Linked DNA regions of Canis lupus familiaris. The protein of the gene in region 5 interacts with the protein of the main gene of each other region in a pairwise test. Links are inferred from orthologs where the notes say so. Each region holds a gene or a part of one and is shown on either strand. Other genes may lie near its edges. The genes, in order: FBP1, MEAF6, SCEL, PRAM1, FXR2, PSME3 and NME1.

What was found.
Region 1: the proteins of FXR2 (region 5) and FBP1 interact in binary tests that used the Homo sapiens proteins (3 or more experiments, as listed by UniProt). The two-hybrid records come from large-scale screens. The link is inferred for Canis lupus familiaris from reciprocal best matches to the Homo sapiens genes FXR2 and FBP1.
Region 2: the proteins of FXR2 (region 5) and MEAF6 interact in binary tests that used the Homo sapiens proteins (3 or more experiments, as listed by UniProt). The two-hybrid records come from large-scale screens. The link is inferred for Canis lupus familiaris from reciprocal best matches to the Homo sapiens genes FXR2 and MEAF6.
Region 3: the proteins of FXR2 (region 5) and SCEL interact in binary tests that used the Homo sapiens proteins (3 or more experiments, as listed by UniProt). The two-hybrid records come from large-scale screens. The link is inferred for Canis lupus familiaris from reciprocal best matches to the Homo sapiens genes FXR2 and SCEL.
Region 4: the proteins of FXR2 (region 5) and PRAM1 interact in binary tests that used the Homo sapiens proteins (3 or more experiments, as listed by UniProt). The two-hybrid records come from large-scale screens. The link is inferred for Canis lupus familiaris from reciprocal best matches to the Homo sapiens genes FXR2 and PRAM1.
Region 6: the proteins of FXR2 (region 5) and PSME3 interact in a two-hybrid assay, tested with the Homo sapiens proteins (2 studies listed by BioGRID and IntAct). The link is inferred for Canis lupus familiaris from reciprocal best matches to the Homo sapiens genes FXR2 and PSME3.
Region 7: the proteins of FXR2 (region 5) and NME1 interact in binary tests that used the Homo sapiens proteins (3 or more experiments, as listed by UniProt). The link is inferred for Canis lupus familiaris from reciprocal best matches to the Homo sapiens genes FXR2 and NME1.

Annotation. Positions count from the first base shown.
Region 1 is NC_049222.1:72,706,639-72,710,531, reverse strand, and holds part of FBP1 (fructose-1,6-bisphosphatase 1), read right to left. Parts: intron 1,945-3,893; coding exon 1,807-1,944; intron 744-1,806; coding exon 624-743; intron 1-623. UniProt on the Homo sapiens protein: Catalyzes the hydrolysis of fructose 1,6-bisphosphate to fructose 6-phosphate in the presence of divalent cations, acting as a rate-limiting enzyme in gluconeogenesis. Plays a role in regulating glucose sensing and insulin secretion of pancreatic beta-cells.
Region 2 is NC_049236.1:5,020,033-5,023,925, reverse strand, and holds part of MEAF6 (chromatin modification-related protein MEAF6), read right to left. Parts: intron 967-3,893; coding exon 879-966; intron 724-878; coding exon 678-723; intron 1-677.
Region 3 is NC_049243.1:31,254,333-31,258,225, reverse strand, and holds part of SCEL (sciellin), read right to left. Parts: intron 720-3,893; coding exon 611-719; intron 1-610. UniProt on the Homo sapiens protein: May function in the assembly or regulation of proteins in the cornified envelope. The LIM domain may be involved in homotypic or heterotypic associations and may function to localize sciellin to the cornified envelope.
Region 4 is NC_049241.1:53,444,586-53,447,264, forward strand, and holds part of PRAM1 (PML-RARA-regulated adapter molecule 1), read right to left. Parts: coding exon 2,223-2,679; intron 2,144-2,222; coding exon 2,077-2,143; intron 2,004-2,076; coding exon 1,927-2,003; intron 1-1,926. UniProt on the Homo sapiens protein: May be involved in myeloid differentiation. May be involved in integrin signaling in neutrophils. Binds to PtdIns(4)P.
Region 5 is NC_049226.1:32,726,590-32,730,943, reverse strand, and holds the start of FXR2 (fragile X mental retardation syndrome-related protein 2), read left to right. Parts: upstream 1-1,228; 5' UTR 1,229-2,838; coding exon 2,839-2,973; intron 2,974-3,287; coding exon 3,288-3,340; intron 3,341-3,695; coding exon 3,696-3,789; intron 3,790-4,187; coding exon 4,188-4,259; intron 4,260-4,348; coding exon 4,349-4,354. UniProt on the Homo sapiens protein: mRNA-binding protein that acts as a regulator of mRNAs translation and/or stability, and which is required for adult hippocampal neurogenesis. Specifically binds to AU-rich elements (AREs) in the 3'-UTR of target mRNAs.
Region 6 is NC_049230.1:20,061,871-20,066,428, forward strand, and holds the start of PSME3 (proteasome activator complex subunit 3), read right to left. Parts: upstream 2,931-4,558; 5' UTR 2,888-2,930; coding exon 2,813-2,887; intron 2,710-2,812; coding exon 2,677-2,709; intron 2,540-2,676; coding exon 2,477-2,539; intron 2,286-2,476; coding exon 2,181-2,285; intron 1,281-2,180; coding exon 1,232-1,280; intron 558-1,231; coding exon 445-557; intron 141-444; coding exon 72-140; intron 1-71. UniProt on the Homo sapiens protein: Subunit of the 11S REG-gamma (also called PA28-gamma) proteasome regulator, a doughnut-shaped homoheptamer which associates with the proteasome. 11S REG-gamma activates the trypsin-like catalytic subunit of the proteasome but inhibits the chymotrypsin-like and postglutamyl-preferring (PGPH) subunits.
Region 7 is NC_049230.1:26,940,932-26,945,521, reverse strand, and holds the start of NME1 (nucleoside diphosphate kinase A), read right to left. Parts: upstream 3,042-4,590; coding exon 2,916-3,041; exon of another isoform or gene 2,883-2,915; intron 1-2,882. UniProt on the Homo sapiens protein: Major role in the synthesis of nucleoside triphosphates other than ATP. The ATP gamma phosphate is transferred to the NDP beta phosphate via a ping-pong mechanism, using a phosphorylated active-site intermediate.

The DNA.
Region 1 (3,893 bases), on a different chromosome or scaffold from region 5:
TTAGCCAGTGTAAGCAGCACAGCCCACCCCCACCCCATGGCTTCAGGGCAGTGCGGGCATTAGAGCAGTACAGTCGATGGTAATAGTTACCTGAAAGTTCTAGGTTTCCCCAGAGACTCTTTCCTTCTCTGGGAAGGTACCATTTTCCAAGCAGCCAACATCAGTTCATTAATTATTTCTATGTTATGCCTTTTGAAAGCAATCAAAGGAAACCTCTATAGGATACATATTTGATTTTCTACCTTGGTAATGAAGCTGAACTGTTTCATTTCACATTATGAATGGCCTTCATTTTGCCCAGGCCAAACCAGACACCCACTGGAAGCATCCGTCCTGACCATAACACTATTTACTTATCTTTAGCAATGGGGGGGCTCTCAAGAAACCATTTTAAGCCGATATCACCTGGCTTTAAGTAGGACATCCTTCAATCTAGGAAAGAATATGCCACAGACATCCCCAGCCTCCTACCACAGAGTGTAGCAGCAATATAATTAATATGTCATATTAATTATATTATATAATATAAGGCTGCTATAATCTCTCTTTCTTCCTAAATCAAATCCTTTGGGCTCCAAATGGAATCCACTGATTTTCAACTACTGTTCAGGAGATTCGTTTACCTTTCCCTTGGGGCTCTTCTTGTTCGCTGGGTACAGGAAGATCCCTCCATAGACCAGGGTGCGGTGGACATCAGCCACCATGGAGCCCACGTACCTGGCCCCATAAGGGGCTGTGTTATCCTGCAAGGGAAAGACCAACAGTAATCAGGGTTGTCCTCTATACTCATCCAGTTCAACAATCATTTAATGAGCACCTACAAGGGGCGTGTTTGGGGATGTGGCTAGGAAACCTGATGAATATCCTGTCTCCCAGGAGCAGAAAAGTCAGCCTCTTACACATCTTATAATAGGATCAAATGACCTGCAGAAGCCCCGAGGAGGGTGTGGTTGATTTTGGCTATGGGACTGGGACAGGAATCACAGAATCATACCTTTTAGCAGGACCTTGCAGGCTGAGAAGGATTTTGCCAAGCCAAGGAGCTGGGCAAGGGAGATGGGGCTGGGGGGGGGGGTGGGCAGTATAGGGTGGGGACTGTCCAAGCAAAGCCCAGCATCCCAGAGAAGCAGATGCTGGTTCCCTGAGGCCCAGGGAGGAACCTGGTACACAGCATGTGTGCAGGGTTCAGGGGGTGGGAAGGGAATGTAGGGTAGGGTGGAAGGAGAGATAATAAACCTGGAAAGAGACCCTGGGGCCAGCTCTGTGGCCCTGAATGTCATACTAACAATATCTGGGCTTCCTCCTTATAACACAACAGCTTTCAATGGCGTTGAGGTAAGAGATGACAATATTGGATATTCCTACATAGAACCATTTCTTCTCGTATTTGATGATTTTAACCTCTTCAGAAGGGTACCAGGAAGGACACTCTTAGCCTTGAGATGGCTGCCAGCAACCCAGTGGCCGCCCCGGGCAGGCACCCAGGTAAGAGGACCACGCTCCGTGCCCCTGACATCAGGGACCACAGAGGGAAACGTTTTACTGCCCATGAACTCATTCATCTGGCTGACTTGATCATCCGGATTTTCTTCTGCCAAGAGACAGTAGCAGAGGCTGACACGGCCCTGGGACTTTGACATCCAAGCGCAGGAGTCCCGGTCGCCAGTACAGATGGGACCTTCCGCATGGGGTCAGCGCTCTGTGGAATCCCAGCCCCGGCCACCCCCGCCGCCTGGAGCCTCCAGGGTGAGGCATGAACCAACATATGGGTGCGTCACCGGGGGCCCTGGCCAGGCCCTCACTCACCGGGGGGAACTTCTTCCTCTGGATGTACTCGGTGACGGCGGGCTCGAACTCCCTGGCATAGCCCTCGTTGAGGCTGTAGATGTTCCCTTTCTTCTTGATTTTCACATCCCTGTCCACCAAAATGAACTCTCCAATGGCCTGGGAGACAGGAAGGAGAGGGAGAGAGCGTGAGCCGCGTCCCCCAGGCCTGTGTGAGGTCCCTGGGACACTGTGTCCCCCGCCTGCCCCTCCGGGACTGGTGAACGGGACCACGGGAGCACCGGAGAGTCGGAGAGTCAGCGGGAGGAAAGAAAACAGGAGAGAAGAGCTGCCGCCCCGGTTGTCAGGGGAGCCAGGCAAGGCGCTTGGCTTTCAAATGGTTTCAGCGAAACAAGGAGGAAACCATACAAAAGTAGTGAGGGCAGAAATGCACAAAACAGCAGCAAAACCTGACGGAGAATAAGAATTGTGAGTCCATGCATATGTGGAGTTTAAGAAACAAACACTCAAAGGAAAAAGAGAGACAGAGTGACCAAGGACCAGAGTCTCAGGTATAGAGGATGAGCTGCTGGTTTGGGGGGGTGGGGTGCAATGGGGATTAAAGAGCACATTTATCATGATGAAAAAGTAATAATAATAATAACACAAAATAACAAAAAATAAATAGCAGTGTCCCCAGGGGTTGGGGGAAGGGAAATGTGTGTTCAAAGCAATATACAACTTTGCCTCTCCAAGAAAATCTGTTGGCGCAGCCAGGAGGTGGGGTACAGGAGAGGTGGGCACCAAGTCCCAGGGCGTGCTCAGTGCGCTCTCAGCTTCCACTTCTGCCCTGGCGCTCCCTTTTTGTGCGCTGCCACAGAAAAGAAGAGAATCCTGAGTCCTGACTGACAGCATTTACGACATCAAGTGCCTTTGCTTGCTGATCTGGACAACATTTCTCAGAACTGCTGCCACTAAGTCCAGCAAGTCCCAGTGTTGAGTCGATGCCCTTAGGGCCAATGTGCTTTAGGGGAGACTGGAATTCGGAGAGGAAGCGTCACCTCACTCCTATTGCTGTGAACAGAGGATAGTTTGGGGGTCCTAGTGTCCTGAGAAGAGGGTGATTGAAGCTCTGCCCTTGCGGGGAGGGGGCTGCTCCCTGGAGGCAAGACATAAGAAGAAAAGAGGCAGTACAGCCATCTACCCCCATCGCAGAGAGTGGCTCCTGCAGGTAAGGAATGTGTTTGCCCTAGAAAGGAAAGAAGACAGGGAGGGATGGAAGGAGGACTAGGAGAGCAGGAAGGAGGATGCAGATGGGAAAGGAGAAAAAGACACTAGAATTAACCATGCTTATTGGAAGGTTTCATGTGAGTGGTTCTTCTTTTTATCTTTTATGTTTTTTTTTTTTATTTCCAAAAATTTGGACCACAATTCTGTAGAAACATCCTTTAAAAATCAGAAAACTAACTAAATAAATAAATACTTTTACAAACAAGGTCTTGAAAACCAAGCCACCACACAATGGGTGCTGCAGAGCTCACAAAGCCACGCTTCCCCGACGCCCTGCCCTGGTACCTGGCCAGAACATCCCAGACATGAAGGAGGAGTCTCCTCCAAGTATAGACAAGAAACTGAAAGCCTTCTGAAAGGTAAAGCCAGCTGGAGATGCACATAGAGCTGTCTCAGTCTTTTTAGCAGAAATCATCAGCCAAAATGAAAAGAAAGCGCTGAGGGGGTCCAAGGTTCAGCCCGCAGGCAGGGGTGAGCTGTAGGTTAATGAGATGGTGTCCCCAGCAGGAGAGTATCACAGCAGGCCTGCACTGTTCTGAACACTGGCGGGCCATTAGCTCAGGGAGGTGAAAGCCTATCAAATACACAGAAACTAACTCCTGGGGACATGGGTCTAAGACCTGGAAACAAGAAGAGATTTTATTTTTTCTACACGTCCACCAACTCAAAGGTAACAGAGAAGTCACTGGAAGACTGTCTGGGGAAGCAGTAAATCTCTGGCAGAGCAGTACATTTGCAAACTTCAGTGGTTCCAGAAACTGCACACTAAGCTCAGGGCGAACTTTGCTCTGGTTCTGCCACTATTTTCCCCTGAGGTCGCCTCATTGGGAGGCTGCATC
Region 2 (3,893 bases), on a different chromosome or scaffold from region 5:
CAATCACTGGATCAATGCAAACACAAGAACTGAACCCCATAAGATACACCATCTGAAAGAAGTACACAGCCATGATACAAAAAGCAGGTTATGTTTCAAAGTGACCCACTGTACAGGAAGAGTGTCCAATACAGCTACCCAGAGTCTCAGAAAGATAAATGCACAGATCTGTATTCCATCACCAGACCTTAGAACAGAATTAGACTGGATGGCTTACATAGAATGATACAATTTCTTTACAAAGTAAATACTATCTACCCTATGTTTTATATTTAAGAACACATAGGTACATTCTGTTCACAGGATCAGATTTTCCTAAGAATTATTAAAGTGGGGACATGGAGAGTTATCAGATATGTCTGAAATTAAAAAAAAAAAAAAAAAACAAAAAAAAAACAAAAAAAACTCCCTAACACTTATCAGCAGCAAAGACATATCTCTGTGTCTTTGAATAGCTACAGTCAACCTCTGCATGATAGAAGAGGCTAGAGGGACACGGTTTCTTCCTCCACAACAACAAAAAGACAGGATTAAAGAGACTTAAAGGTTTCCCTAACTTCTAGAAAAAAGAGGCAAGAGTATAAGAGATGTAGTCTTCAGAGACATAGTCGGATAGGAGGTAAAGACAAACCTAAAAATGAAATAATAAAGAAGTTAAAAAAAAAAAAAAAACTTACTCTTTTCAATGAGCTGATCCTGAACTCCTGCCAATGCACTTACTGCCTAAAAGAAAAAAAAAAGAAGAAACCTGTTACTAGAAAAATTATCACAGACCTCCGGAGAGCCCCCGGACAGCAGGGAGAAAGGGAACTAGCAGAAATTTAACTGAGGGGTTTCTCCCCAATGGGCCACAGAAAGATTCCCCCCACTTCACTTACAGCTGCCGAAGTAACTGAGGATTTACTGAAGAGTCGCTCAGCTTCCTTAAACTTCCGGTTCCTTCGGTCGTTTTTGCTATTGGAGTTTCTAAAACACACACAAGAAACTCATAAGCACCAAGCTGAATCTATGGCTCGAGTTGAGGATGGCCCAGGGCACAGTAAGGAACTCTCTCACTGTCTTTTTTTTTTTTTTAAGTTACGAGCTTTCAGACAGAAATGCCTCCACACCTTCTGGAGTGACCGACAGGACCCTAACGCTAAATGCCCACCCAGACAGCAACGGTTTCCAGCGCATAGGGGGGTGCTCCACTGTGGGACATTACTTCAGTTGGGTCACTGTCATTAACATTTTCATATGTATTTGATACTTATTATTAAAAACGGCTAGCATAGACTAGTGATATGAAATGGTTTTGTCAGATAAGCTTAATGTAAAAAATGTAATGAGGGATGCCTGGGTGGCTCAGGGGTTGAGCATCTGCCTTTGGCTCAGGGTGTGATCCCAGGGTCCTGGGATCGAGTTCCCATCGGGCTCCCTGCAGGGAGCCTGCTTCTCCCTCTGCCTGTCTCTGCCTCTCTGTGTCTCTCGTGAATAGGGAAAAAAAAACTTAAAAAAAATTTAAAGAACAAGCCAGGGTTCCTTAAGGAAATGGCTGGTCTCAGTTCTGGGATAAGAAAAGGGCAAGGTGAGGCTAAGAGACCCTGCTAGGACAGAAAGCAGCAAAATGCCTGAAGACTAACAGAGTCTAATAGGGTCACATCAGCAGGACAAAGGAGGCTTCCTCTGGCCATATTTGGGACAAATCAAGCACTGGAAAGGATAATGATGGGTGTGTTTGCTTCGTGAAAAGTCATCAAACTGTATGTTTATGACGTATGTGCTTCTCTGCATGTATTTCAGTAAGTTTATAGCAAAAAATAAACCTCCACAATAAAAAAGTAACGGTACTAGATTCCCACACACTGATTTTTTTTTTTTTTTAATCACTGGTCCTGGGGCACCTGGGTGGCTCAGTCGGTTACATGTCTGCTTTCAGCTCAGGTTGTGATCCCAGGGGCCTGGGGGGCTCTCTGCTCAGTGGGAAGCCTGCTTCTCCCTCTCCCTCTGCCTGCCACTGCCCCTGTTGTGCGCACTCCCTCTCCCTCTCTCTCTGTCAAATAAATAAAAATCTTAAAAAAAAAAAAAATCCATTGGTCTCTAGTGATACTAAAGAGAGAAGGCCAGAGATACAGAACGAAAGGGCGAGAAGATATGAAGGGAAGATTCTTCTTTCTGAATACCAGTGATCCATGTACCAGGACGAGTAAAATCAGAATCCACAGTACATCAAATGAGTCGGGTAAAAATCAACAATGGATACTAAAACCACTGAATAAAAATTTGGAAAAGCGGTATATTCACACTGCCTAAAAGTACAGCCCCCAAACTACCTATAAATTACAGAGAACAAATAAATTTTTACAACGGAGAAATCATATGCTCCATCTTTGTACCAATAATGGGACAATCTGACACTATGTGCCTCCCAATAAAATTGAGGTAAACAACACACCAGGCATACAAATCATTTATGCAATATTTTCGCCAAAAATCCTTAAAGGATCTCTCATCACAAAAGGAAAAATCTGGAATTGGAACATTCTGCAAGACAGTGTCACGAACAACTTTACTGCCAAAAAGGGTGGGGGACTCTCTTAACTCTCTTAAATGAAGAGACAAGAGAGACATAATAGCCAAATATTGATACATGAACACTGAAGGGATCAAAACAAGGTAGCAAAGCATGTCGGGGACAATTAGGGGAATTTGAATAAAGACTATAGTAGATGATACTATTAATGTAATGCAATTTTCTATATGCATTAATTGTGGTTAGGTAAGAAAATATTCTTCTTCAAAAAAAGAAAAAAAAAAAAGGGCAGCCTGGGTGGCTCAGCAGTTTGGCGCCTGCCTTGGGTCCAGGGCGTGATCCTGGAGGCCCGGGATCGGGTCCCATGTCAGGCTCCCTGCATGGAGCCTGCTTCTCCCTCTGCCTGTGTCTGCCTCTCTCTATGTATCTCTCATGAATAAATAAATAAAATCTTAAAAAAAAAAAAAAGAAAAGAAAATATTCTTAGGAGGTAAATGCTGACATAATTAGATAGCAAAGTGTCGTGCTATCTGCTTAAATGGTTAACAAAAAAAAGTATGGAGGAAAGGGATGATATAACTATAAAGGGGTAGCAGGTGGGAGATCTTTGTGGTGATGAAATACTTCTGTATCTTGATTGCAGTGGTGCACGCAGGTGGTGCACGCAGGAGTCTACACGGCAGTGACAATTACACACACACATACACATTGTACCAATGTCAGTTTCCTGGATTTGATATTCTACTACAGTTACATAAAGCCCAACCATCGGGAAAGACTAGGTGAAGGGTACACGGGACCTCTGTAATATTGCTGCAACTTCCCATGTATCTGTAATGACATCAAAAATTTTTGACTTTTTTTCTTTTTTAAGACAGAGAGAGAGGAGGGGGAGGGGTGGAGAGAGAGAAAGAAAGAGAATCTTAAGCAGGTTCTATGCTCAGCATGGAGCCTGACATGGTGCTTGATCCCATGACCCTGAGATCATGACCTGAGCTGAAATCAAGAGCCAGATGCTTAACTGACTGAGCCACACAGGTGCCTCTAAAAATTTTAAGTATAGATATGGGTATGTGGGGATCCCTGGGTGGCTCAGTGGTTGAGCACCTGCCTTCGGCCCACGGCATGACCCCAGGGTCTCGGGATCGAGTCCCATGTCAGGCTCCCTGCAAGGAGCCTGCTTCTCCCTCTGCCTGTGTCTCTCATGAATAAATAAATAAAATCTTTAAAAAAAAAGTATAAATATGTGTATGTTTATATACATTAGAGAGAAAGCAAATGTGGCAACATGTTAACAACTGATGAAAGCAGGTCACGGGCATCAAGTGTGCACAGTACTATTTCAATGTCAAACCTGAAGATGTTTAAAACGTTTAGACAG
Region 3 (3,893 bases), on a different chromosome or scaffold from region 5:
GCCCTCAGATTCCCTATTCAGTGCTCATCCAGTTACCCCAACAACTGTCAGGTTGACCTACTCAATATTAGGGCGAGAAGTAAAAGAAATGATGTAGGACCAGAAATTGAGGAGTTCCACTATGTAAGCTTATTTTTATTATACTCAGCTACAATTATTTATAACTAATCATATTCTCAAAAGTTTCAGTAGTTTCAACTATCATTAAGCCTATCAGTCCAAATTTCATGCTTCATGTAAAAAGCTGCTAGCTTTCTTAACAATTTCTCTTCTTGGATTTCATTGTTTTTATGCAATGCATGATTTATTAAAATGTTGCAAAAACTTATAAAGAGAACAAGTGTTTATATTCTTACAGATTTAAATCTCTAGGGTAAGAGTAATAAATGTGTCAGTAATCAACTCTAAGCCTAAAGCCAAGATAGTAATTATAAACCTTTGAGGTTTAGGCTGCAGAACTCTGAGAAATATTTAAGTAATACATTATTAATATGGATGAGAGTGTTTCTGAAAGCTTTAACTTCACCTCCTGTATTTCATTAAATAATTATTTTTATTCCAGTCATTATGCAATTTTATATTTAGTTAACTGCAATAAACATATCCTTACCTTGAAGCAAGTGGAATGGCAGCAAATTTGTAATTCATCTAAAATCATTTTAGTTTCTGTACCCAAAGGTTTCCGGCAATAAGTACACATATCTCTTTCAATGACAGACCTACAGAGACATAGCAATTACAAATAAATTTGTCATCATGCAAGAGACAGATGTATTCCCCATAAAGTCATGTGGAAATGATATGTTAATTTTGTTGATACTTTAGGAAATTGTGTGAAAATCATGAAAAGTTTGGGACTTACTTATTCTAGTGACAGAATTGATTCTTTTAGTTACCTCAAAATACTATCAAAGAATTAATATGAAGGAAAGTCTCAGATTATTAATTCATTAGCAATGAAGAGTGCATCTGGTCAGGGTAAAGATGCTCATAGTTCCCTAATTGAACTAGGTCATGAGTACCCCTTGAAGCTAGAAGAGGGTTTTGAATTATTAATTTGCATATATCATAGAAAAATTATACTGTCAATCAGTATAAAATCTTAACTCTCAAAACATTCAATAGGACAAAAATACAAATCCATTCAAAAGCATTTTGGTAAATTCACAAATGATGGGTCTGTGGTACCCTAGACTCTAGGGTCTAGAGTCCCCAAAATGCTCCTCTATAACAAATCTCCTGGTATCATTTTAAGACTCAGAATACAGGGCTAGCTTTCATGACAGAATTTATGTTCTCCAAGAAGATACAACCTCTCCACAAATTTGATGAGGAAAAGAGAGTTTTGTTATCTATTTTGGAAAAATAACATTCAATGACAAACGAACCACAGATAAGATCAGCAAGTCCAAAAGACCTCAGGTCACACAGCACCTTATGAAATGCCAACAGCTCCGTGATTCTTTTCCTTTGGGAAGGTACCAGGACTGCCTTAAATAGCACCTTGCAAAGCTTACTAGTTTCAGGGCGTTAGCAGACAGGCCTGAAATTTCCACAGTAGGGTACACAAGTGTAAAATAAAAATAATCAATACTTATATAGTGCTAATATGCTTCCTACAGGCAGTGTGCTTTCCATGCACTTAGCTTGCATAAATTCATTTACTTTTCAAAATATGTCTGAGAAGCAGGTCCTGTTATTTTCACATCATTTCACAGAAGAAGAAACTGAGGCATGGAAGGGCAAGAAATTTGCTTCTGTCATGCGGCCAGTTGAGTGGCAGCAGGATTTGAACAAAGGTAATGTGGCCCTAGAGTCCTGTGCTGCCTCAAGGCCTGCCCATGAAGACCACTAGGCTCATCATATGAAAGTGAATTAGTTGTGCCCAGAGCCTTGATCCTATGATCAAGCCCAGGACTAGAAGCAGAGAGGAGGGAAAATGAATGAAAGGAGGAGGTAGGAGAGGAGACTTAAGAAGATGAAACTTGTCTGATTTTATAATTTCAGTTATTCTAGTCCTTATATAGATCAATAAATAGTTTCCTCTTTCAATTATCTCTAAAGGTCCTTCCTTATATATTCCTGGTCAATAGTTTCTTTTTTTTAATAGTTTCTTATGGATAATTCGTATATATACATACATAGGTGCCCACACACTTAAATTTTCTATGTAAGACCGTGAGCACTTCAAGAGTACAAAGCAGGCACTCTCTATTCTACTTCCATTCCAGAGGCACTGGGGGAGGAGCTGGGAATACAAAGAGTGAGACAGTCTCCTTGCCATGAGGGTAGCCAAGTGTATGATTCGATGATCACAGCTTATTACAGATACATGGAGAGAATTAGGAGAGCATGGCCAACGAAGCAACTATTCCCTGGGGTGGAGTCAAGAAGGCCTTGTTGGAAAAAGTGCCACATGAGTGAAAGTTTGAGGACAGAGGGGCTCAGTGAGGTGCAGAGGAGCATGGTAGAGGAATTCCAAGCAGAGCAAACAGAATGTACCAAAGAGGGTATCTGGAGTGATTAAACATCAGTCAATATTCAGCAGGAACAAATTCTAAAGGCCCATAAATAATTGTGCAGAGGAATTAGTCTTTATCCTGGTAAAGTGGGAACCACTTTATATGGGATTGAAATGCTTAGATAAGACCTCTGGGGACGTAGCTTATTTCACATATTAATCAACAAGAAAAGTTGCTTGGCAGACTGGTCCTACAGACGATTGACTTTTGCTCTGATGACTAAGAAAAAGTTCAAGAGCCACTTTAGTAACAGAATTGAAATTCTTCATATTAAGAGCAATACTTATGTGAAGAATGTTTTTCCTTCCTTAAGTTAACAGTAACAATATGAGCCCAGGGAAAGCTTTGATGTTGGTGTTGTCCTTATTAAGATCATACTGTTAATGAAAGACCTTTTTCAAAGGATTATGGGGGAAAAAAGCTGCCTTTTTTGTTAGTTTGTTTTTAGTTACCTAGACAGTATTTGTAGTTCTAATGCTTGTGTAAATGACTTTATTCCTCAAAGAAGTGTGACATAAAGGCAAGATACTCAGAGGATCACTGGTACTACAAGATCTTATAAAAGTCACAGAAAGAGGATATAATTTTGATGCCTGGCCCATCCATGTTTTTTCTTAGCAAATAGAGCATTAGCTTATTTTTTTCCAAAAACATTTACTGAGTATCTGTTAGGTGTAAAACACAGCATTACAAGCTGAAGCTGTGCTTAAAAATAAGATAGGCCCTTACCCTCAAGAAGTCATATTTCCAGCCTCTGCTATAAAGAAACACCATCAATAGAATGTTGTGCATTTGCATTACAGTTGGCTTCCAGTGGTTGGTTTGAAATGCTAATTACTTTCATTTTGTCCACTGGAAATCTGCAGGATGTATTCTCATGAGCATCACCTATGTGCCCCACTGAACATTAAATGGTAAAGAAGGATCACCAACAGCAAAAGCCTGGTGTTAGTTTACCAGAATTAACTTGATATGCATTGTAACCCCTGTCTTGAGAACTGAGTATGGGCCCAGGGTGGGTCATAGCAGCATATCCATGCAGCTGTTTGCAAGGTGAGCTGACTCTGGAAAACCACAAGGAGGGAGGATTGAGGGCACAGTCAAATGATGCAGTGAAGCCTAGACACTAAAAATGTGACATTAATAGTGACTCCTGGGAATCAGCAGAGGGGCTGATCTGGTAGGCAGCTGTATGGCATGGAAAGTTCTAGTGGCATGGAAAGTACATCAAGTATATCAAAATTAAAGAGCAGCAACATCCCAGAAGCCAAAGAATGAATTCCTGGATGCAGAGGTCGTTGTATGTTGCTCCATTCATACACATGTGTAACAATCACCATCAAGAGTGCCATCTCTAAGTACAATGAACAA
Region 4 (2,679 bases), on a different chromosome or scaffold from region 5:
TGCGGACTTCTGGCAACCTGCCAGCATTCCACGTAGGAGCCTGCTGGCCCTGGGGTTTGGCTTACGAGAGCCTCATGAATACCAGTTGAGTGAAGGATCTAGAACCTGAAGCCTGAAGCCTCTGGCTTTTTGCTCCAGACTCCAGCCACATCCTGGTGCTCAGATGATGATGCCATCTCCAGTTTCATCCAGGATATTCCCTCCAACTGCTCCTGCTTCTCCCAGAGGCACCCCAGGACCCCTATAACCCACCACGGGGTAGAGCATGCCCCTGTGCACTGTGGCACAGGACAGACCTGGCACACCTGCAGCCCAAATTTCTGGCAGTGTGACCCTAATCAGGCACATAGGTAAGGGAGGTTCTAAGGGTGACCTATTGAGATCTGAGAAAGAGCTACGTGTGCTGGCCCCAGCCCCTTCCAGGAGAGCTCCCAGCTGTGGAAGGAACCTCTGGGGTCGGGCTGCTACCATTCCCAAGTAGGGCAGAGTGGGAGGTTGGACTAGAAGAGTACAAAGTAGCCTTTGGGACAGCGTATTACCAGTGAGGACCCACATAGTATTTCAAGAAGGGAGAGATTTGAGAAGTGTATTTTGTTGGAGTCTTGCAGAATGACTGGCATGGAATGGGGAGATGATTTTCCACTGGCAGGGACAGTGAGCAGAAGTCGGGATGTTCTTGGTCTGTTTGGGGATTGGGGAAGAGTGGGGGGGGGCATACCTTCAAGGCTGCTGGAAGCTAACTGCCTCTTTCCCCACGTCCCTCTCCAAGACTGGCCCCCCAGACCCCAGCCACAAGAGCCTCAGTAGAGCGGAAGCAGGAGGAGCCTTGTCAGGAAGCTCTACTAAGACAGTTTTGTAAGCAGCCCCTGAGGAAAGCCCAGGAGAAGCAGAAGGGGCTTGGGAAAGAGTAGTACAGGCAGCAGACTTGGTGTTGGGGCTGAGCGGGGCGGGGGTGGGGTGGGGGGGGTGGGGGGAGGCGCGGAGCATCCCAAAGGCACCACCCTTAATAAAAGGTTGCCCTGTAGGAAGCCCTTCCAAAGATAGGGCAGGGAAGTCTTGAGAGCACAGGGCCTGGGCTCCTGTCTGCCGGCTGTGTGAACTGGGGCAAGTTGCTTCTGGGGTTCTCAGGCTTCCACCTCTGTAAAAGGGCATGCTGTTGCCTTGGGGGTGGGGGGTGGCTGTACATGTTCAGTGATGTTCACATACAGGGCTTGCATGAAAGTCACTCCCCCCCCCCCCCCCCCCAAAAAAAAATGGTGAAAGCATTAACCTATAGCAGGGCTGGAGACGGGTCTGCTTTGCCATTATCCTGCTCTCTGGGAGCAGAGACTTGGAAGAAGGGAGAAAGAAAGGTCCTCAGGAACCTGAGCACAGAGTGTCTAGGACTGCAGGCTCAGGGTCTCCGTCTACAGCCCATGCCTCAGTTGAGGCCCAAGTCCTGCCTGGACATCCAGCAAGCGCCTCCAGTGCAACAAGTCTACTATGGAACCTGACACCTTGTCCCCGACTCAGGGATACCTCCTCTCTGCACCCAAGTGTCAAGCTTGACTTGGGCCTCATCCGTGTCATGGGCTCACTTGCTCCCTCTCGCCCCTGCATCACATGCCACCAAATCCTCTTTCTGATTCTTCCACTGCTCTGTAATGCCGCCTGCCACCACCCTGGGCCACACCCCTGCCGTGGCCACAGTACGTTCACTGGTGTTGGCCTCTGGGCTGCCCTACCTCTACTGTTGTGTCAGGAGCTGGCATGGCCTTTCTAAAAGGCCCTTCCTGCCCTCCACTTTCTCCCCTGGCACTGCCAGGGAGACGGACTGTCCCTCAGATTTGCCGCAACAGCATGGAAGAATGTGCCCTTGCAATGAATGGTCCCCGGGTGCCTGGGCAGGATGCTCTGGCTGAGGGCTCAGCCCCACCACCAACAAACCTCTGCCCATGGGACTGGGGCTGGAGTTGTCCGTGGGCTCCACGTCGTCATACAGCTCATAGGCCTCGTCCGGGTCCCTGTAGGAACCTGAGATGAGGGCCTCTTTCAGCCTTAAACCTGCGCCAGGACCCACTAACTCCCCACACTCACTGCAGGATGTCTTGAGTCTGTCGGGCTTGGAGGTGGATCCCAGCAGAAGAACGGGTCCTCCTCAGAGCTGTGGAAGGAGGAGAGCGGGAGGGAGGCAGGCCCTGCCTTTACCTTCCCAGCTTTTTGCGGAGGCTGCTGTGACCTACCTGTGGCTGCGGCTGCGGCTCTTCGGAAGCTCTGGACATCCCTGGGGCCAGGGGGCAGTGGGGGCTTGGCTGGGGGGGGGCCTAGGCTGTTTACTGGGGGCAGAGGCCTCCGCCGGGGTGGGTGGCCAGGCTGGAGGCCCAGCCTCGAGCCTCCACTGTGAGAGCGAGCTCCTGATCTCTGCTCCCTGGCTCCAAAGCCAGGGCTGAATGGGAGCCTGGGGCGGGAGCCCGCCACAGCAGCGGGGAGTGAGCTCTCTGAGACGGAGCCAGGGAGTGGGGGCTTTTTAGGGAGATCACCAAAGAACTCCGTGTGCAGGTGCTTCTTGGGCAGAGCACTGGGCTCGGGCTGTGAGAACTTTCGAGGGGGCTGCTGGCATTCAGGCTGCAGGAACTTCCTGGGGAGGAGGCCAAACTCGGGCTCTGAGGACACCCTGGTGAGGGCCCCCAGCTCAGGCTG
Region 5 (4,354 bases):
GGAATACAGCATCCCCAGCTTCAAGCTGTGGTTTTTATCCAGACCCCTCCTGTTTTTCTCCCAGAACCCCCTCCTTTCTTTTGAGAGTCCAGGACTAGAAGATAGGGTAGAGGTGGGGAATAATTTTCTATCTTATTTAAGGAAACAAGTATCTAGAACGCTTGGGTACTCTTCCTCTTTCTGGTCCTAAGCCCTTTAAGCCAAAGCCGGGATATGCTGCAGCCACTGAATTGAGTCATTCTTTGGATCTAGTTGGCTTTCTAGAGATTGATTCACCTGCTCCTGCTCTCACCTGCTTATCTCTCACTTTCTACCACTGGTATCTTTGGAGGAAAAAAATGGATGATGTGGGTGAAGTTAACATGAGTTTGGGAAGAAAACTTGTTCTGGTGAGTATTTGAAGGAAAAAGACCCTAGAAGTTTAAGATTGTGTGGTGTTTGGTTGAACTGCTGAGTAATGTGAGGGGAAACTCCATTCTGAGCTATTTCTGCCTTGGGGACAGATAGTGGTAGCTAGGAAAAACAGGGTGGTAGTGCTACCTCTCCCTGAGGGCTAACCCTAACATGTTGGGGGAGAATGGGATTAGAACCATGGGAATATCCTTTGCGAAGAAGTATATCTAGGAGCGGGAATCTCTTCTTAAAGGAGGCAGACAAGTGATTCTCTTCTATCTCCTCCATGCTTTTTATCTCATCCCTAAAATGTTTTGAGAAGAGCTAATCCTCTCTTAAACTATTTTTCAAGTTTAGGGACAGACATTTTGGATAAAGAATTGGATAAAGAAAAAAAAAGAATTGGATAAAGACAGAAGGAGCTAGGTAAAATGTTTCTAGAAATCCACACAGACCCTCACAGAGGGAGAAAAGAAAAGGAAAGTGATGCTGTTAGGAGGGGAGGGTGGAGGATGCTCAAGGAGCTGAGAACCCAAGGGGGAAGAAGGACTCAGGCAAACAGTGAGGAGTGAAAATGCCTCAGAAGACTCGTGTGTGGAATAGCAAGCTTGGGTATAGGTGGAGCTGTACAAAGAGTGGAGAAAACATGGGGAATGGCAGAGAAAACGAAAGCACAGCTGAGCAGAAGGGCAGGCACCAGGAGGACCAGATGCCTTGGGCAGTAGTAAAGCTCTGCATAGTGAGGCGCCGCAACAAGATCTGATCCCAAAAGAAGAGAAGGATGGCCAGCTGGTATCAAAGAATGAAATCTGAGTTTTGGTTTTCCCACCGTAAGGAAACAGCAGTATAGTAAATGTTTACGTTCAACCAGTTCATTGAGGTGGTAATGATAGAAGTGTGCATTTTCGGTGTTTTCTCTCCTAAGCTCAGCTGTTACGCATAGCTGCAGAGTTCAGGAATGGTTCTTGTGTGTTAGACTTTTTGAAATCCCTAAATTTTTTTAAAAAGATTTATTTATTTGAGGCAGGGAAGGGCAGAGAGAATTTCAAACAGACTTACTGCAGACTCCCCGTTAAGTGTGGTGCCTAAAGCCCGGCTCGAGCCTACCACCCCAAGACCATGACCTGAGCCAAAATCAAGGGACAGACACTCAACCCATTGAGCCACCCAGGCGCGCCAACCCCTAGTTCTTTGTTAACAGTTTTATTGAGGAATAAATATTGAAGTGCATATGTTCGAAGTATAAACTGAGAGGTTTTGACTTAGATACCAGTCTACATATCTATATAGATACGTGTCAAACCATTACCACAATCAAGATATTTCCATCACTCCCAGTTCTTTCAACCACCAATCTGCTTTCTGTCTGTTGGTAATATGTTAATTTGCACTTCCCTGATTTTTGACAAAAGCAAAAAGGCAATTCAGTCGAGAAAGGGTAGTCTTTTCAACAAATAGTGCTCAACCGGACTGTCCACGGGTAAAAAATGAACTCTGCATATCTTGCACCATGTACAAAGTTTAACTCAGAGCAGATCATAGATCTAAATGTAAAATAAAAACTACAAAACTTAGGACGCCTGAGTGGCTCAGCGGTTGAGCGCCTGCCTTTCTTTGGCTCCGGGGATGATCCCAGATTCCCCGGTTCAAGTCCCGCATCGGGCTCTTTGCATGGAGCCTGCTTCTCCCTCTGCCTGTGTTTCTGCCTCTCTCTCTCTCATGAATAAATAAATCTTTTTTAGAAAAAAAGAAAAAAAAACCTACAAAACTTGTAGAAGAAATAGGTGAAAGCTTTGGGTGTTGGATTGAGCAAAATTTTCTCAGGAAACCAAAAGCTCAGTTAGAAAAGAGCAAATTGATAAATTGGACTTTCAAAAACAACAATCCCTAATTTTGAATATGTGAAAATTAGAGAAGGTAGAAAAATTGGGAGCATAGGATTGAACATAGAGCTTGCCTGTCTTTGTTGAGATAGTAGGAAGTGGACCAGCTATTCAGTCATCCCTGTTCCTCTCCCAAGTCATGGTCTCAATTTGGGGTGTGGGGGTCTTACCCTTTTCAGATTCGTAGCAGCGTGTCATAGTCTAGCATTCAGAAATCTCACATATCCTAAGTCCTGATTTCTCCTTCTATAAATTGTGTTCATCCTTTTGAACTTCAACAGTGTTCCAAGAATTCACTTAGGACCCAGGCACGAAGGCACCGAGTTTGCTCAGGTCTCTTGCTGCGTTGGGGAGCTATACCCTTTTCTCTCTTGGCAGATCCTGATGTCCTCTAGGTGTTCCAGGACAGCCTCACACTGTCTCATGGGATATTCTTAGCCTTGCTGAGTATTGTTGGTATTTTAATTGAACTCTGGCAAGTTGCTCAGCACAACAGGAGGCAGATAGATAGGGAGGCCCCTGTGGGAATTATAGTAGACCCATCAGTCTCCAGGCTGTTCTTATGCAGGTGATGTTTTCCCCTTCTGTGTCATTTGTCTCATCTTATTTGTGGATTTTGCCAGTTGTCTTTCCATGTCAGTGTCATTTCTTTTGTCCCTGCCTCAACTTCATATTCTTGCCCCAGTCCCCAGTACAGGTAAGTTTTTCTGGTCCTATCTTTAAATTTCTTGTGTCTCTATCTAAAACTCTAGGTAACCGTCTCTTTTCCCTTGATGGTAGTAAATTGTCGTTTTCTTTCTTTCTTTCTTTCTTTCTTTCTTTCTTTCTTTCTTTCTTTCTTTCTTTCTCTCTTTCTTTTTTCCCTTCCCTTCCCTTCCCTTCCCTTCCTTTTCTTTTCTTTTCTTTTCTTTTCTTTTCTTTTCTTTTCTTTTCTTTTCTTTTCTTTTCTTTTCTTTTCTTTCTTTTCTTTTCTTTTCTTTTCTTTTCACTTTGTTCTAAAATCCATTCTAGGGCTTTGTGAAGGATGTCCATGAAGACTCTGTCACCATCTTCTTTGAAAACAAGTAAGACCTTGGGAATAGAGAATCCAGCATACTAGGTCCTAGAAGGAGAGTGGAGAAGAGGGGGCGGCTGAGTCCTATGAGGCATGTAATAGGTGGGGGAGAGCCAGGGGTGTGGGTGGTCAACTTATATAGACCCCAGGAGAGGAATGGGCTGAAATGTGTGTGTGTGGGGGGGGAAACGGTTGACCTAGTATTTGGATTCTAGCAGGAGACAGAAGATACAGTGGAGCAGGGCTTAGAATTTAGCCTCTAATCACCAGAGAAGGTGGGAACTGCCCAGCAGAGGCAGTAACCCCTTCCTGAAGAAATAGCAACATGATCCCAAATAGCTTTCATGTCACGGTTTCCCTTGCAGCTGGCAGAGCGAGAGACAGATTCCTTTTGGGGATGTCCGGCTCCCACCTCCAGCTGACTATAATAAAGAGATCACGGAGGGGGACGAGGTGGAGGTAAGAGCCAGGGCTCCACCCCTTCTAAATGTCACTTTTTCCAGGATTCTGTGGTCTCCCTTGCCCTGAGACCAGTATCCCAGGCTCTCCTCTGGTTGGTTCACTCTCCTCCCTCTGAAACCCAGCCCAGTAGGCTGTGGAAGAGAGAAGTGCACCAGCTCCCTTTCCCTGTTGTGATCAAACTCAGGGAGCTTCCCAGTTTCAGGGGAGTTACTTTCCCGTTATGGTGACAGCACCCTCTGGGCTTTTAATTAGCTCCTTCCTCGTGTCTCCTTTGTTGTGGTATAATGTGCTTCCCAGGGTCTGAAAGTTGCGTTCATGATGTTTTCATTTTTTAATTTTTTTTCGTTCGTGATGTTTTTAGCTGGGCCTCAGTATCTCTTTATTTTCGGCTCCAGGTTTATTCTCGAGCCAATGAGCAGGAACCTTGCGGCTGGTGGCTGGCCCGGGTGCGGATGATGAAGGGAGATGTGAGTGATGGGAAGCACGGACCATAGTCACAGAAAAGGGGGGGGACAGACGCTCAGGTCATCCACACTTGTTTCTTCCTTTCTGCCAGTTCTAC
Region 6 (4,558 bases), on a different chromosome or scaffold from region 5:
AAGAGAAAGCAGGGAAAAGGAGAGTAAACCTTTTGAACCTTCCTCTCCAGTTTGTAATACAAGCAAGTTACCTGAATGGACACCCCGAAGTTGTTCCCATCTTCTATCCTGGGAATCAGAAGCTGTACCCACATTTTGACCTGAAGGGTGAGAGGACCAATATATATACATATATATGGATATATATAGACATATATATATATATAGAAACACACACACACACACACACACACACACATATATGAAGACCCTCGCTTTTTCTGCTGAAGCCATGAAATATACAATCCTTGCTGCTGGGATCAGATGCCAGGAACATGGTAGCCAAGATACTTAATGTGCCAACTCCTCTATCACCTCCATGCCTCCTGCCCCACAACCAATATTTTTCATAATTCAAGCCAGGCTTTTTGGGGTCAGCCCTTAAGTCACTAGCCCCTGCCTCACCGTGTTGCATTTCTCAATCAGCAGCCGGATCTCAGGTTTCACTTTCTCAATAATGTCCACTAGCTGCTGGTTGCTTTTTAGCATCCCATTGGGCATCACGAACACCTTGGTTCCTGGCAGGGACATGAAGAAGGTCAAATGATTGAGGGATTGGGGGACAGGACATAATACCCCCACCTTCCTTGTTTCCCAGACCCATGAGATGCTATGATCTCTGCTTTTTATCTAAAATGAGTGTCTAAAGTGCCGAAGTCAAGGGATCCTTGGGTGGCTCAGCGGTTTAGCGCCTGCCTTTGGCCCAGGGTATGATCCTAGGGTCCCGGGATTGAGTCCTGCATCGGGCTCCCTGCACGGAGCCTGCTTCTCCCTCTGTCTATGTCTCTGCCTCTCTGCCTCTCTCTCTCTCATGAATAAATAAAATCCTTAAAAAAAAAAAAAGTGCCAAAATCTGAATAAGGAAAGAATAGGAAATTAAAATATGCTCTAAAGATTTAATGCACCAACTATTACTGAAAAAGAGAAAATAACTAGAACTTCTGTGGAAAATCTAAGATGTGTAGCCACCTCAAACCTCTCCCCCTTGACAGTCCACACTAAGTCAACCGCTCCCTATTTATTGGGAAATTAGGTTTGGGGTGCTAAATAATAACCATGTTTGTAGAACTTTGGAATGTTAACGCTGGAAAATAAAATTCGGTCTTGTTTTCTGATCAGAGACTGCCAGATCAATCCTCCTGCTCAGGGTTGCAAGCCAGGGAGTAGGTGGGCGGGGGAGACTGGCTCTTACCTTGGAAGGCCTCTTCACATTCATCCAACCTTCGCTTCTTGTAAGTGGGCTAAGGATACAGAGATAGGAATTAGTCTGCTCTTGACACCCATATTCCCATCACAAGTTACCCTTCAAGCAAGTCTAATCTCTTTGGCCCCATAGGCTGTTTTCATTTATGCACAATTTACTAAGCACATATAAGACTTTAAAAAAGATTCTTGCCACAAAGCAAGTTACAATCTAGTTGGGAAGACCAGCCTTCAAATGACACATTAAGCAACTGGGGGAGAGGGGTGGATACTATAAGCAACAGGAAAAATGAACCATTCAAAGCACAGTGAGTATACTAAAGGGAATATGTACAAATCTTCAACTTCCACAAAGAAGTACAATATTCAATCAACAAACATGTACTTAGCACCTACTATGTACCAAGTACAGTGCTAGGTGCTAGGGATACAAAGATGATTAATAGTTTCTGTTTTCCAGAATTGCAAGCTCTATCAAGGACACAGTAATTCAGACAATACAGTGTTAACACTGTTATTATGAAATGTGGACATGTAACTGGCAAGCACGGGGTTCTAAATATATGTCACATAGACAGAGACTACAGTTATATAGCAAGCACTACTCATCCTCTAACAATACTCAAGACATTGAAAAAGGTAAGAAATATCTTGTTTAGAGCCACAGGGACAGACCAGATAACTTGAGGAAACCTGTAGCTACTAGTCCTATTAGGAACTCACTGTAGGACAAAGTAACATTACATTACACACTTCATGCTATAAATGAAAACCAGGGTCTCAAAGTGGTATACTGGAATCATCAGGTCTATAAGAGCCCTTGTTCCTAGATCCTAATCCACTGTCTCCTCCGTATGTGTTTAAATTGACTAGGAAGTAAAGAACAGAGACTAGAGAACTATTGCTTCAGAATACAAAGAAAAATACAGGACACTCACACCGTCCAGTCCATCGTGGCTATTGGTGAGAAGAATAGGATCAGGGACTGGGAGATTCATGTCTGAGTGGATCTGAGTTAGGTCATGGATGTTTAGGATTGGTTCCTGAAAGAGAGACGCCCACCCCCAAAACAACATCAGTCTTTTCAAAATGAACAAAGAAGTATTTTATTTGAAGGGCAAGAAATGAGAGCATTTTACTGTACAAAACAAAATAGAATCAACACATGATTTCTCCCATTTGACAGAAAGACCAGAGCCAAAAAAACGGGAATTTGAAGAAAAGAGTCTCTCACCTTCAAAAAGCTATCAAGTTCTAACAACTTCTTTGGGAAGAAATTTGCCACCAAGTCTTCTGCCTAAAAATGAAGGAAAATACAGCTCAATTAATAATTGTGGGAAGGTCTCTCTCTACAGATCTCTTCTTTGGGAAATTCCCAACTATCAACCAACGCTTATTTATTTTATTTTATTTTATTTTTTTTATTGCACTCACCTCACTTGTGATCCGCTCCCTGAAAGAATCAACCTAAAATTAACAAAGAGAGCAATTCAGTAACAGCAAGTCAGTACCTGGCAACAGAGGTTAAGGGCAGGACGGGAAAACCCAAATCCAGCCGTACTCCCCTCACCTTGTAATTGTAATGAGAAGCTGAGAGACCCCCAGACTGTAAATACTTTATTTTTTTGAGGATCCATTTCTCCATCTCAGGAGAGGGAAGTGGGGTTTGAGGGTAGCACCCGCCTGCTTTCCCTCCCACCCTCCCTCCTTGTGTCTGAAGCTGTCTGGATTTGAGAGCAAACGAAAGTCAGGTAGACAGGGGGCATGTGAGCTCACAAACGTGCCAAGCCCCCATCCAGACCTAGCCTTTGATACCAGGGAGGCCTGACGCCAAGGGTAGGGGTAGAACAGCGGTAGCATCCGGAGGCGGGGACGTTGCTGGACTGGGGACTTCCAGCTGTCACTGGCCTAAAGTGTTGAGTCCACCACGTGTCCGCGGAGGTCTCCTCGGGGATCTCCACCACCAGATGCGGTTCACAAGGCCACCCCATATTATCCTCTCCCCTGATGCCGTCTCCGGGAGTGGGGGGCTGGGCTGAGCTGAGCGGAAGCTCAGAGCTGGTGTCCCCAGGGAGACAAAGACGCCATGGGGAGTGGGGAGCCGGTCAGACTGCTCGGGAATCGAAGCGGGGGGTAAGGAGGCCCAGACCGGTGCCGCTACCTTGAGCTTCACTTCCTGATCCACCTTCAGCAACGAGGCCATGGCCGGGCCGGGCCGTGTCCGCTCCACTGGAGACCAGAGGCGCTGTGGGCTCCGGGGAGGGGGTCAGAGGGACGGGAAGAATCTCGGCTGTTCTAGGGACGCGACCGCCCTCGCTGGCTCACTCACTGCTCGCTCGCTCCCTCCCTCCGAGCCGTCCGCCCGCCCGCCTGCTGCCTGCTGCCTGCTCACTCTCTCGCTCGCCCTCCCGGCTTTCGCCGCTCACGCCGGAAGTTACATCACAGCCAATCGCCGGGACTCCGGAGAGGCGCACGTGCCCTGCGCAGCCGCGCTGGGGTCCAGCCCTGGACGTCCGAGACCGGACTCCTAGCAGCCGGCATCCAATGCCGGGTAAGGGCGAAGTAGGAGGGAGAGCAGCCGAGGGTGGTTTGCTTAAAACTGAGCATTAGAGAGACTCCAGGACTGTTGGACATTCTGTTAGCTCGGCGCTCGCCCTCATCACAGGGACCTTCTGAACCGCTGCCGCCTCGAGGACAGGACGGACAGCGCCGTCGCGCCCCAGTGACGTCGGCCCGAGGAAGCCGGCGGCCCCGGCGCTGGGCTCGGGGGTTCTACTCTGTGATTCTTGCTGCCTCCTCCCGTCGGCCGAAGCTCTAGTGTTAGGCTAGAGTCAAACAGAAGTCAAGCTCTGTTGTCCCAGGCTTCTCCACCTTCCTCCGTCACTTAGCCTCATACAGTTCGAGACCTCAGAGATCAGCTGCCTGATGGGCAGATTGACAACCGGAGCGCGGCATTGCTTGTCCAAGCCCACACAGTTTCCAGACCCAGATCTCCCGACTTTCAGGACAATGCCGTTATCTATTTTCCTAATAGGAGGCAGAGACCGTACCTCTTCACTCGCTCATTCATCCGGTCTCTCTTAACATTGGTTCTTTCGCTCAGTGAAATGGAGGCAGGACGCTGTACTAGGCCCTGGGATGGCGTTGTCCCAGAGCCGAGAAATACACGAGTTCCTTATAGAAGTAAAAATCATCTAGTAGCCACATTAAAAAGTAAAACAGGTGAAAATAATTTTAATCCTAGATTTAACCCAGTTTATCCAGACATCATTTCAACATGTAACCAATATAAACCTACGAATGAGATCTTATACAT
Region 7 (4,590 bases), on a different chromosome or scaffold from region 5:
TGTGGCAATTATGCAATTCCCACAAGTATTTTACAAATCACTCCAAAGTACATGACATCTAGCAATAAATAATTTTGCAGAAGAAGGAATGAGAAACTCTCACATTGCAAGGCTGGTACGTGGGAACAAATCAAGTTAGCTAGAGAGCAAACCAGCTGCTTGGCAATTCCGACTACCTCGGCTGTGTTCTTTGCCACTGCGCACAGGGCCTGTTCAGGGTCTAACAAGGACTCAGTTTTTCCAGTTCTATAGTACTGCACACTGCAGGGAGACCCACACATGGGCAGATCTGCTGCCAGAAAGCACATCCAAATCATCCTACCATTCAGCCTCTTGTTGATTGTTACTTGCCAAAGTAAAATGACACAGCCACATGACCAGCCGTGTTAGCAATTCCTCTCCCATCCCCTCCAATCCCCCTGGAAGACTACTAGGGGCAGTCTCCTGACACACACTGACTTGACCTTCCCTTCCCCGAACACTGTTTTAATTCTACTAATTGGTTCTGGTTATCTTTAATCTGCAGAACAGATTACAGGGTTTTTTTCAGAGGGGGGACATCAAGTTTCCCCTCTCCACCCTTCTCCATGTCAGATATAAACAACTCTGTAGGCTCCTGGCAGCTGTCCATCTTCATCAAGCCCATATCCTTGATAGGAAACTGAGTGTAGTGGAAAAAAATGCATGCACTTAGGGGTCAGAGAGACCAGAGTTAAAATCCATGTTCCATCACTATGTGCCTTCAGATACATTACTTAACCTCTCCAAGCCCCAGGTTCCTCATAACTGACAACCATAGGCATAGAAATAAGTACGTCTCTGGGTTGTCATGCGAGCCAGAAAAAACACATGTCTAGCACACGGTAAATGCCCAATCAACAATACTTTCTAATTTCACTTTGCCGGGACTCTTGGGTGGCTTAGTGGTCGAGCGTCTGCCTTCGGCTCAGGCCGTGAATAAATAAAATATTAAAAAAAAAAATTTCACTTTGCCTTCAAAACCTAATTTAATATACAAACTCTCTGGAAAGCCATACTTGTCTAACACCTGGCACTAATCATTCCATGATGTACCCCCCTGCATCAACATCCATCTACTCCATTTTATACTAAAGCAGTTTTCCTAAAACATCACACAGGAACTAAATTGCAAATCAAACTAAACTTAAAATACACTAGCAGACTCCAAAGATGACTCTACTGGGGCACCTGGGGGGCTCAGTCAGTGAAGCATCTGCTCAGCTCAGGTCATGATTCTAGGGTCCTGGGATCAAGCCCCTGCTCAGCGGGGAATCTGAGTATCTCCAACTCCCCACCCCCTGCTCTTGCTCACTCTCTTTCTCTCTCTCTCTCAAATGAATAAAATCTTAAAAAATTAAAATTAAAAAAAAGATGACTCTATAAATAGGAAAAAAAGACCATTCTCTAATTTATAGGCTTTGAGAATCTGAATTCTCATTTCCCAGGTCTGTCTGAAAAAGGATTCTTGACTAATTAATCCTTTTCATTTTGGGGGTGGGGGGGTTGCGAGGTTTTAAAAAATTTTTCTTAAAGATTTATTTATTTGAGAGAGAGAGCGAGAGAGAGAGAGAGCGAGAAATGAGCAAGAGGAGCAGAGGGAGAGACAATCTCAAGCAGCCTCCTTGCTGTGGGCAGCCTGACATGGGACTCAGTCTCATGACCCTGAGATACCTAAGCCGAACCCAAGTGTCTGACGCTTAAGAGACTGTGCCACTCAGGTGCCCCCTCCTTTTCATTTTTTGAAATACTGCTTTGTAGGTTTCTTGCAAGTGCCATTTCTCTCTGCTGTTTTCTTTTTTTTTTTTAAAGATTTTTTACTTATTTATTCATAGAGATGCAGAGAGAGAGAGAGAGAGAGGCAGAGACACAGGCAGAGGGAGAGGGAGAAGCAGAGGGAGAAGCAGGCTCCATGCAGGGAGCCTGACGTGGGACTCGATCCAGGGTCTCCAGGATCACGCCCTGGGCTGCAGGCGGCGCTAAACCGCTGCGCCACGGGGGCTGCCCTCTCTGCTGTTTTCAAGTGGGCCTTCCAAAGGACAAAACCACAGCTTTCCCACAACATGCCCTAATGGTGCCTAATATGCTAGACACGAAGTGGGTGGTAAATAAGGATGGAAAAATCTCCTTGCTGACAATCAACCTGCCTGACTCAAAGAGAGGAATGGAGGAGGGGGAATTTCTCTGAAATTATCTGCTCAGGAAGCTCAAGACTGGGTGCTCAAACACGCCCAGGGCTCTGAGTCAGAAATCACAGTGTTCTCCTGAAACCAAAATTGCATGTATGTTACCTAACTAGAATTTAAATAAAAATCTGAAGAAAAAAATAAAATAAAATAAAAATTTAGGAAAGAAAGGGGGACGCCTGGGTGGCTCAGCAGTTGAGCGGTTGCTTCTGGCTCAGGTCATGATCCTGGGGTCCTGGGATCAAGTCCAGTATTTGGCTCCCTGCAAGGAACCTGCTTCTCCCTCTGCCTCTGCCTCTATGTCTCTCATGGATAAATAAAATCTTTGAAAAAGGGCAGGGGCAGGGGCGCCTGGCTGGCTCAGTCAGTGGAGCCTTGATCTCAGAGTTGAGTTCGAGCCCCACATTTGCTGTGGAGATTGCTTAAAAATAAAGGAAAGAAAGAAGAAATCACAGTGCTGCAGTAGTAATATGTGGAACTCCGCACTGCTAAAGGAAAGGGGGAGGCTATTCCCAGAAGTCCCAGAAACTGGGTTTGTGGTAGGACTCAGCCACAGTGCTAGCCACCAGTGAGTTTCCAGCTTTCAGGATGCTTGTGTTCACCCTACATGAAGAAGGCTAAAGAGGAGGGGAGGCGAGAACAGGGAGGCTAACCTACAATGATCCCTTGTACTCCAAGAAAACAGAAATATGAAGAGTGAAGTCCACTTACCTGGATTAATTTCATAGCAATGAGGCGGAATCCCTTTTGCTCGAAACGCTTGATGATCTCTCCCACAAGGCTGCGCTGGACTCCATCAGGCTTGATGGCAATGAAGGTGCGTTCACTGTTGGCCATGGTCCTGAGGATAAACAGCTGGGAGGATGAAACGGCACGGAATATCCTGCCTACATCATTATCCATCGCAAGCCGATTACCCCATAAAGCTGGTTTAAATCTGTCATGCCAACTCCAAGTCTCTCAGGTAAAAACCCAATGCCTAGTGTGCTCACCACGCTGTGCTACTTTTAAGACAACTTTAAAGATATATGTATACACAATGTTCCTACAGTGCTAGTCGTATATACCAATAAGAACAGTGTGCTAAAGGGGTATGAGGGCAGCTCAGTCGATTGAGTGTCCAACTCTTGATTTCAGCCTGGGTCATGATCTCAGGGTCAGGGGACTGAGCCTCACACTGAGAGCCTCAGAGAGCAGTCTGCTTCAGATTCTTTCTCCCCTCCCCCTCTGCTCCTCCCTGCTCATGCTCGCATGTTCTCTAAAATAAATTAACAAAATCTTAGAAAAAAGAATAGTGTGCTATTGCAGTGTACGAATGTATTCATTACAAGGTGCTATACGGACAAAACTCTGGAGTAGCCTGTGTGTAAAAAATGTTCCTAAGGGGGGAAAAAATTTTTCCCTAAGCAAACACAAACCCCCCAATTCCTTCTCAGTCCCCTTATTCCTGAACTAATATCCCAGGGTGGGCAAGGGTCCAAAAGCAGGGGCTATTTTTTCTATCCCATTTGACTTAAAAGCTTCTATTAACCTGTACTGTGGCATAACTAAGGTAGTGGATGTTTAAAACAAAAAGAAAAGAAAAGATACTGTCCTTCTGATTTATCCAGATAAGAAACTACAGTGATAAAGTGGTGTCAGGTCCAAGGCAGAATGAAATACAGTCTAACCCACTGCCACAGTCATGGTATTAGAACTGGGAGGGGTTTTGGAGATTATTTCATTACAATCCCCCTCATTTTGCAAACAAGAAAACAAATCTAGAGCACCAAAATGAGGGCCAAAAAATCTGGATTTCCCAACTGGATACAATTTATTTTTTTTTTTTTTTTTTATTTTTTTTTTTTTGGATACAATTTATGCTACATCATAAGACACACCAGAGAAAGGTGGATGGTGGAAGAACTAGAGCCATTAGTAGTATCTGAGCTGGGACATCACGCAGGAACGAGTCTGCCTAGAGAATGTCAATCTCGTATCTTGCCTTTTACAGAGAAGACTGGGCTCAAGACTTGCTCTGCCTTCACAAGAAGGGAAGGAGGAGGCCCCTGACCTTGAAGGTCAATCCCTAATGAGGACAGCCACACCACCTCCTGGCTCTATCTTCCTGTAGGTTAGTTAACCTCTTATTATGACAGCTTAATATATTTTAATTTCTGGAAGGCCTGGGTGGTTCAGTGGTTGAGCCTTTAGCTCAGGTCTTGTTTCCGGGGTCCTGAGATCAGAGTCCCCAATCGGGCTCCCCACAAGGAGCCTGCTTCTCCCTCTGCCTAGGTCTCTGCCTTTCTGTATGTCTCTCATGAGTAAGTAAAATCTTTAAAAATACATATATATTATCTTTAGTTTGTGTTTCTCCCCCCCCCGCCCACACACACACACACACACA